Linked DNA regions of Coturnix japonica. The protein of the gene in region 2 interacts with the protein of the main gene of each other region in a biochemical or structural test. Links are inferred from orthologs where the notes say so. Each region holds a gene or a part of one and is shown on either strand. Other genes may lie near its edges.

Evidence for each region. The genes of interacting proteins can lie anywhere in the genome.
Region 1: the proteins of SH2D1B (region 2) and signaling lymphocytic activation molecule-like interact in a test that uses a peptide from one of them, tested with the Homo sapiens proteins (2 studies listed by BioGRID). The link is inferred for Coturnix japonica from reciprocal best matches to the Homo sapiens genes SH2D1B and SLAMF1.

Annotation. Positions count from the first base shown.
Region 1 is NC_029540.1:802,602-806,573, forward strand, and holds the start of signaling lymphocytic activation molecule-like, read left to right. Parts: upstream 1-1,170; 5' UTR 1,171-1,729; coding exon 1,730-1,781; intron 1,782-3,484; coding exon 3,485-3,811; intron 3,812-3,972.
Region 2 is NC_029516.1:78,530,412-78,534,475, forward strand, and holds the start of SH2D1B (SH2 domain-containing protein 1B), read right to left. Parts: upstream 2,804-4,064; 5' UTR 2,300-2,803; coding exon 2,166-2,299; intron 1-2,165. UniProt on the Homo sapiens protein: Cytoplasmic adapter regulating receptors of the signaling lymphocytic activation molecule (SLAM) family such as CD84, SLAMF1, LY9 and CD244. In SLAM signaling seems to cooperate with SH2D1A/SAP.

The DNA.
Region 1 (3,972 bases), on a different chromosome or scaffold from region 2:
CTCATCCCCACTGCCTTCAATGGGGACAAGAACCTTCCATAGTTGTCCCCAGCCACTTCCCAAAGCCATCCTTAAGCATCACCTCCTGGGGTACCTTGGTGGCTCATTTAAGAACCGGGAACAAGCAGGAGTCATTCCAGCTCATGTTTAATGGGAGGCCCAGGGTAATTCCTTGTGTGTGACAGCCTGATGCTTTCAGCACCGACGTGAGTTACTGCAGAAATCCCCCTCTGTGATATTTCCCATTGCTTCACATGCTTTTCCAGCCCAGAGGCATCAGTTTGCAATGCCTGGTGCTCAGCCAGATGCTCTCTGTGCAAGGACAGCACTGCAGGACGTGGGTTGGTCCGATGTGGATTTGGGCATAGCTTTGCTTTTAGTATCAGAAATAATTTATTGGTGACAAAAGTCACAGTGCTCTCGGAGCCCGGCTCCGCTGGAAAATGGTGGGAGGCATAAATGCAGCTTTTATTTCATCCTGACACCTAAATGTGGTCTGTTTTAAAACAAACGGAGGAATTTGTGCTTCACGCTGCTGCCTCCGCTCTCTTCTGCAAAACAAGAGAGGAAAAGTAACAAAAACTTGAAAGGAGTAATAGGAAAAAAAACCCCTTCTCCCATTGTAAAGCGCTGTGCAGGCTGAGCAATGGCAGAGATGAATAATTCATTCCACTAAAAACACCAAAACAACCAAGATCTGCTCACTCCTTTCCAGCAATGGAACGTACAGGCTGAGTTTTTCCAGCCTCAGTGTGGACTGAGTTCCATCCATGTTCCATCCGTGTTCCATCCATGTTCCATCCATGTTCCATCCGTGTTCCATCCATGTTCCATCTGTGTCTCATCTGTGCCCCATGCATGTCCCATCCGTGTCTCATGCATGTCCCATCCCTACTCCATCCACATCCCATCCCTGCTCCATCCTTGTTCCATCTATGTCCTATCCTTGCTCCATCCATGTTCATCCATGTCTCATCTGTTTCCCATTTGTGTTCCATCCATTTCCTGTCCTTCCTCCATCCATGTCCCATGTATGTCTCACCCACATCCCATCCCCGCTCTGTTCATGTCCCATGACACCCACAGCAGTGAGGACTGCCCTCTATCCCCAGACACCAGCAAAGCACAACCCCTGGGGTCGGGCTTAAGCATTGCAGGAGCAAACTGGAGCCCCATGATACTCAGGCTGGGGTTCTCCTCAGTGGGCTTTAAGGACCACCTGTGCTCTTGCTTGCAGCAAAGCCATGGAGCTGAGGCTTCAGACTGGGGCCACCTTGAATCCCACGCACCTGGAGTGGGTTAATCCCCAAATATTCACTGTTTTTCCTGCTGCAAGTCAATGCTGTAGTGTGGGATGTGCTCGTGCCACATCCTCCGACCCAGTTGACACTGGGCAGCCCCGGGAACCCGTTACCAAACATAAAGAGAGTTTGGTGCTGGCTATTTCCTCTTCTCATAGAGAGCGGGTTAAGGGCCTGTGGCAGATGATATACGTCTGAAGAAAACTATAAATCATTGCTTTGGGCCCTTCTGCAACTCTCCGCGGCGCTCTTCAGCGATGCGTTCAGAAGCGTTTTGAATACTTTCCACTCGAGAAAGAATCATTCAGCCTAAAAAACAGGAAACACATGGCCCACAGCAGCGCCTCTGATTTGAGTACACCTGTTCTCATAATGAGCACGGCAGCAGATATTAACTCCACATCGACAGCAGCTCCGTGAACCGAGGCATGGGCTGCAGGGCATCACTTTGGCTGCTCATCTCTAGTTGCTGGGTTTGGGGTATGTATCTCTTTCCTATCTGCAAACTATGTGGTTCGGATGGCTGGGGGATCGGCGGGTATTAGAAATGGTGAGTTGTGGGCTGGGTGGGCAGGCGGATAAATGTAAATATTCATCTGGAAGACAAACGACACCCGACTCCAAGTTGGATGTGCGGCGCATCCCTAATGCGCTCTGTAGTCAGAGCGAGGGAGGAGAGAATAAAAGGTGATGAATGAACAAAGGCAGTGATGGTCAGAGCGTATCTGTGGTGGTGAAATACTCTGCCTTGGGTTTTCATGGGGGATCACCAGTGCTGTGGGCTGGGGAGCAGGAGGTGTAAGTCCTAGCAGATGGTCTCTAGAGGTCTCAGCTCTGGGTGCTGGTGGGGGTGAGGTGATACTTGACCAACAGAATGTCTATAGGAGCATCAGTGCATGAGGAAGTGGGCTCAGCCCTGACCTTCTTTGCAGTGCCATCCTTGGGGTCAACATTCATCCCCATGTGCTGCTGCACCATCACCGGGCAAGCAAAGAGGGGTCTGCCTGGCAATACAGCAGCACAGGGCTGCCTCCACTCTGCTGGCTCACTGTTACTAGAATACCTGCCCTCAAAATCCCCCTGGGTTTTTCTGCCTGGACAGTGCTCTGAAAGTCCCATGAATGTAATTCCTGACATAGGGGCTGCTCTGGACCCTGCACTGTGCCTATGTTCCCACAGCTCATCCACATGGGTACTCACGGCCTCATACAACCCCAGTCCCACATCCCAGCAACCTTCCTATGGGGAGCATCTCCTCTTCTTGGGAGCTGCAGCTTGCCAGGCCAAGGGCTTTGCTACCGTGTTTCAAAAAGGGCTTTTCCATTCAGTAATTAATCAGGAGCTTAACCGCTGTGCTCCGTGCCACTGAGAAAATGCAGCCTCCAAGCTCCATGCTGGGCTTTGCTGAGTTCCTTTGCAATAGCAGCCGCTCTGCATGGCTGGGTCGGCACCCCAGAGATGTAATTCACAGGGACAGCTCTGAAGCTGCTGTGTTTCATGCCATGGAGGGGGAAAAAATAAGCAATGGCAAGGACTCGGGATGGGGGTGGGAAGCAGTTGCTGTCAGCTCGGTTGTGGTTTTTAGTGGAAGTACATGTGCTGCAGCAAAGGCAGATATCGACATTATCTGGGTTGAGTCCTACTCTGTATGCTTCCCTTCTGGGATGAGTCCTTGCCCCATTGGAAAGAAGTATGCAGGAGACATGAGGGTGACGTGGCATATTCCATTCCACGCTCTATTGATGAGCAGTGCTGAGCTGGTGTCACCCCCATCCTGTTTCCTACATAAACAAGCCCACGGCTCACGGGGGCTGTAGGCAACTATGAATCATGGCCACAACCAGAGGTAACTCATGAACAAGCCAGGGGTGACCAAAGTGCTTTGGTGTGTATTAGGAACCATCGCCACTCGTGGTCCTCAGACATCCCTGGGGCATGCAGGGGTTGCTGGAGTGTGGGGCCGCTGTCACTGGGGCAGGATGTGGTGCCCTACACAGGGCTCAGGCTGAAAACACCATGAAGTACAGCAGTGGAGAGATGAGAAGATTATTGCATAGGCAGTTGATGTGAGATTACCAGGGCAAGCCCAGCACCATCCCCTGCTTATGCAGCTCTGTGACCAAAGGGTCGCATCTCCTCCAAGCCCCCCAGGCTCTCCCCACACATCTCTGCTCTCCTTCCAGGCATAGGCTGTGGGACAATGGAGACAGTGCTTGGCACCCTGGGGAAGGCAACAATCCTGGGGGTCCCCCCTAAATTCCAGGAGCTCACCCAACGTTTTGGGACAGCCACGTGGAAGCGGAGTGTGGAAAACCCACTAAACAAGGAATATTTATTCACATACTACAATGGGAACTACACCAACTACAAGCCAGGACAGATTCGCTTCCATCCATCCAACTTCTCACTGGAGATCCTCAGCACCCAACGGCAGGACCAGCAACTCTATGAGTACTCCATCACCATGGAAGCCGGGGAGACTAACTGGCATATCCAATTGGCAGTGTATGGTGAGATACATTGCATTGATGGGATGGTGGGAATGTTGGGCTGAGATGTGGCAGTGAGCCCAATACCCTTCCAGAACCCTATGGTAAAGGCAGACCTCAACCCCATTTCCAGAGTCTCCAGCAGGACTGGAGCAGCACCTCCCCATCTCCAGCTGATGGCA
Region 2 (4,064 bases):
TACATCCAGAAAGGCCTGGATGTCAATGTTACTTGTTCATAGACACTAAAGCACAAAATAGAGCCTAGAAGCTCACTGAAAGCTGCTTCCGTCATTGTAACATAAAGCAAACATGAAACTGCCATTACAGTGAAAACTTTTAATTCCAAATCAAATATTAAATGCCTATAAATAACTGCATATTATGATTCAAACTAACAAACTAACTTGTTTGAGGACAAGGGAGATCTAGAGGCAGAAAACTAGCATGAGGTGAATTTATTTTGATAGGTTGACATATTGAATCACAAGAACAGAAGCAAGGGCAATAGATCTGGATTGAGGCGCTATCAAGACCTGGGACAGCTGTGGATGAGTTTGGAAGGAATGCCACGGAGAAAGAGGTGTGCACTGTGCATGGTTAATGCTGAGATGCTTTTGGACCAGTCCCAACATTCTGACCCTTAGATCCTCCCCTTCAGTCAGTGGGTCAACTACAAATTGTGGTTGTTTTCTGTAGCCTGTGAATTGCTGTCTCTGTCCACGGATCAAATGAGAACTATTTTATTTATTTTTTAGCAAGGTGGGCATCAGTTTTTCTTATCAACCATGTTACATGCTAAGCAATGCTTAAGATGCAGTTCTAGACCGGAAGCTGTCTTGAAACAGCACCGAGAATTTCTGTGTTGATGTCTCCAATTTTAGGACTGATGCATTCCCCTTAAGCAGCTTTTCTTTCTCTAGTCTATCACTGACAGCCAGTCTCTCAGCTTCTGAGCCAGCTTCTGAACCACATCATCCCATTTGCTATCTGAAAGCAACCTGTACTTTCACCTCTGCAAGCCAGTATCTATCATGCTGTTGCTGCTACTCTGTATTTCAACAATTGTATGTATTAATGCACAAACTAAAGTCACATACATCCTTTGGCTATATGATGTACTCTGTAGATATGCTGTCTATTACTGCAGTAGTTCAAACTCATTTAACGCACAGAAGACATAAGCACCTCTTTGCTTTTTTCATCTGCCTCTACTGAATAAGATCACAACAGCTGTACTCCCACATCAAAGCCTAGTATTGCTTCCTCCGTGCCAGGATCCCCATTTGTTGATTCAGACAGACTATGCATGCCATTTCCCTCCCTGATCTCTTTGCTTTGTACATTGTCTCCTTCCACACTCATTGCAGGCAGGCTCCTCCAGCTCCCTCTTCAAGGTCTCTGTTTGTAACTCATCTGCCATTTCTCCTCTGTCATTCCCAGATGATCCTTTCTTCTACTCACCAACCCAACAGTATTCCATTTCCTCCTCCCTTTTTCTCCCTTCTCCTTTGATTTGTTTTAAAAGCAGTGAGATTTTGATTATTGATAAAACATATTTCCTGATATTCCTGAGCTCATTAAATGTTATGCTACATTTATTTTTTTCATGTCACTCTCAAACACACCCTCAAGGAATGTGTAAAATTCAATGGGTTCACACAAAAAGGACTAGTTACTAGTTCATAAACTGAACACATTAAGAACAGATTGGTTACTTATGAAAAAAAATGTAAAACAGACTTTATGAACAGGAAAAAAGTGCTGTTCCCAACAGCAGAAGAAAATAATCCAGTTTTAATTGTTTTAAGCTAAGCAGTTTTCTATCCCCATCTTGTTCACGGGCTTGTCATGAATTTGAGTAGGACGTGACAGGTTCTATCTCAGCTTATCTTCTCACATCAGATAAACTTTGTGGGAAACACAAGGCTAATGTTTCATCAGATAATCAGCATGCATATGAAAAAGAAAATTTTTATGTCCAACTGTGGGACTTTTCAGTGTCTCAGCAGTGCTAAAATGGTATTTACTCATTGTTATAACACAGGTAGCAACTCTGAGTGAGATTCTCCTCACCGTGTTTTGGCAGGCTGAGGTATTTTCTCTGGGATCTCTCTATTGTCTGCAGAGAGACAACAGCATCAGCAGAGAACAGTTCATCCATTCTCTGTTGTATGAATTGTTTTTACAAATGTCACCCACTCACCACTCACTATAAAGAAAACCTAAGGCAACCAACATCGCTTGAATACATCTACAGACATACTGTTAACATTAGGGAAGAACTATTAACGTTAGAAAAGGAGAAGTCTTAGTTTTTTATCTATTTGAAATCTCATTAGAAATTTAATATTAAAATACTTACAAAACACACAGACACAAGGCTCCAGCCATGCTTTCGCTCTCTCGTATTAAATAGCTACCATTCTTTCCTTTCTTGCACAGCAGTTCTTCACATGCTTTACGTGATATCTTTCCATGAAAAAATGGGAACTCCATGGACAAATAGATACAAAGTCTCTCGTCTTTCAGACCAATTCTAGAAAAAGCTGGAAGACTGGCATTAAAAGACGACTTATTCTAAAAACAGTTGTTAAGAAGTGAAACTAGAGGTTTGAAGTATGGTCATGGGCTCATGTTGTGGTTACTGGTCTGTCTGTAGTGCAGCTAGCCAACAGCTTAAGGCTGATGAGCACCATGAGGGCAGGGTGGGAAATGGGAAATGATTCATCTGTACTGTTACTGTCACTCTTCTGGTGCATTATATGACAGAGCTAACATCTGATTTGTGTTTTACGTTTCTAAGCTATGCAATAGTTTAGCAGACACCTAATCACAGTTACATTTTAAAGGTAACTTCTACATATGAAGTTGCTCAAAGCCTTGCTGAACTTTACCTTTTAGCACAGCTGTTAGATGTTGTTGCTGTTCTTATGGCTTATTGCATTTTGCAAGTACCAGTGAAAGTTGGTCAGCAGTACTTGTGAATTAGATTTTTCAGGAGGCATTCTCTCTGCTGCCTCCTTCTCATTTGTGAAGTGTAATAATTTTATCCAGAAGTTCTGCTATGTCTATGTCATGACAGAGAAAACATGATAGGAAGGAGGTGATGGTCAGACAATGCCTTTTGGTACCCCTAGGAAGCTGCTGTCAGTTCAATGTGACAGGATACATCTATGTGGAAAGCTGCTGCTCCCTGATGGAGGAAATGCTACCCAGCTCTATGGGAGATACTCTCACAGGGATTTAATGCTTTTCTCACTGGAAGGCAAGGACTGGGGAAGGGTGGAGAGCAAACAGACCTGGAGAAGCAAGAGATAAAAACCAAGCTGGGCAGTATTAGTGAAGGAATGGAAACTGCGGGAGGACCCAAAGATACAGGAGTAGCTATGATTCAGAAGGTGAGACTGGAAAGGAAACAAGCACTGATCTTGCAGATAGAGTTGGTTTAAGTTTCCAGGGAAGGAGGAAGGGACAGAGACAGCAGGAGAGACAGTCTTCAAAGCTGAGGAAAAGGATCAGGGACTGCTGCAATAGTTTGCTTTCAAAGTCAAAATGGTCCAGGTCCACAAGAGCTGGAACTGGCAGGGGTCTTCTTGATTTCAAAGATCACTGTTTGCATCTACACTTCCCAGCTTTGTAACCTGTGGATGACTCTGAAGATCTCATAATACGTCACCATTTCTCTGTCACCAAGCAGTGCTGGTGACTTCTATGGTACAGTTCTGCAGTCCACCTTACTCATGATCCTTGACATTGATACCATAAGTGATGGTTGGCTATTTTCTCTCTTCTTCTTTACAGATCCTCCTCCATTTCACAAAAATTCCAAGAAACTTGTAAGTGCAAGTACTCGTCTGTTAGGAGATGTCAGAGTTATAGTGTGTTACTGGCAAAATTACAGCTTTCTTCCTTTTGTGCAAGTGAAGTGTGATAACTGATCAGGTATGATAAGGGGTGTTGGTGTATGACTGTGTGTACAGTTTTCTAAATATCTCATGAATGTAAAATTTTCATGAGGCAGTGCAAGGTGGGTGACACAGAATTCCAGCTGTGAAAAGGAACAGCAGCTGCTTAACACTGCCCATCTTCAGGTACATTCTTTCTCCTCTTCAGTGATAAGAAAGCTAACAAGTAACAAAGTAAATAAATGAAACTAATATAGAGTATCCAAAGGAAGACTATGGAAACAATGAGCAATCTAAAGGTCAAGACATATGAGGCATAGATGATGTTGCTGAGCCTGTCCAGAGCAGAGCAGAGG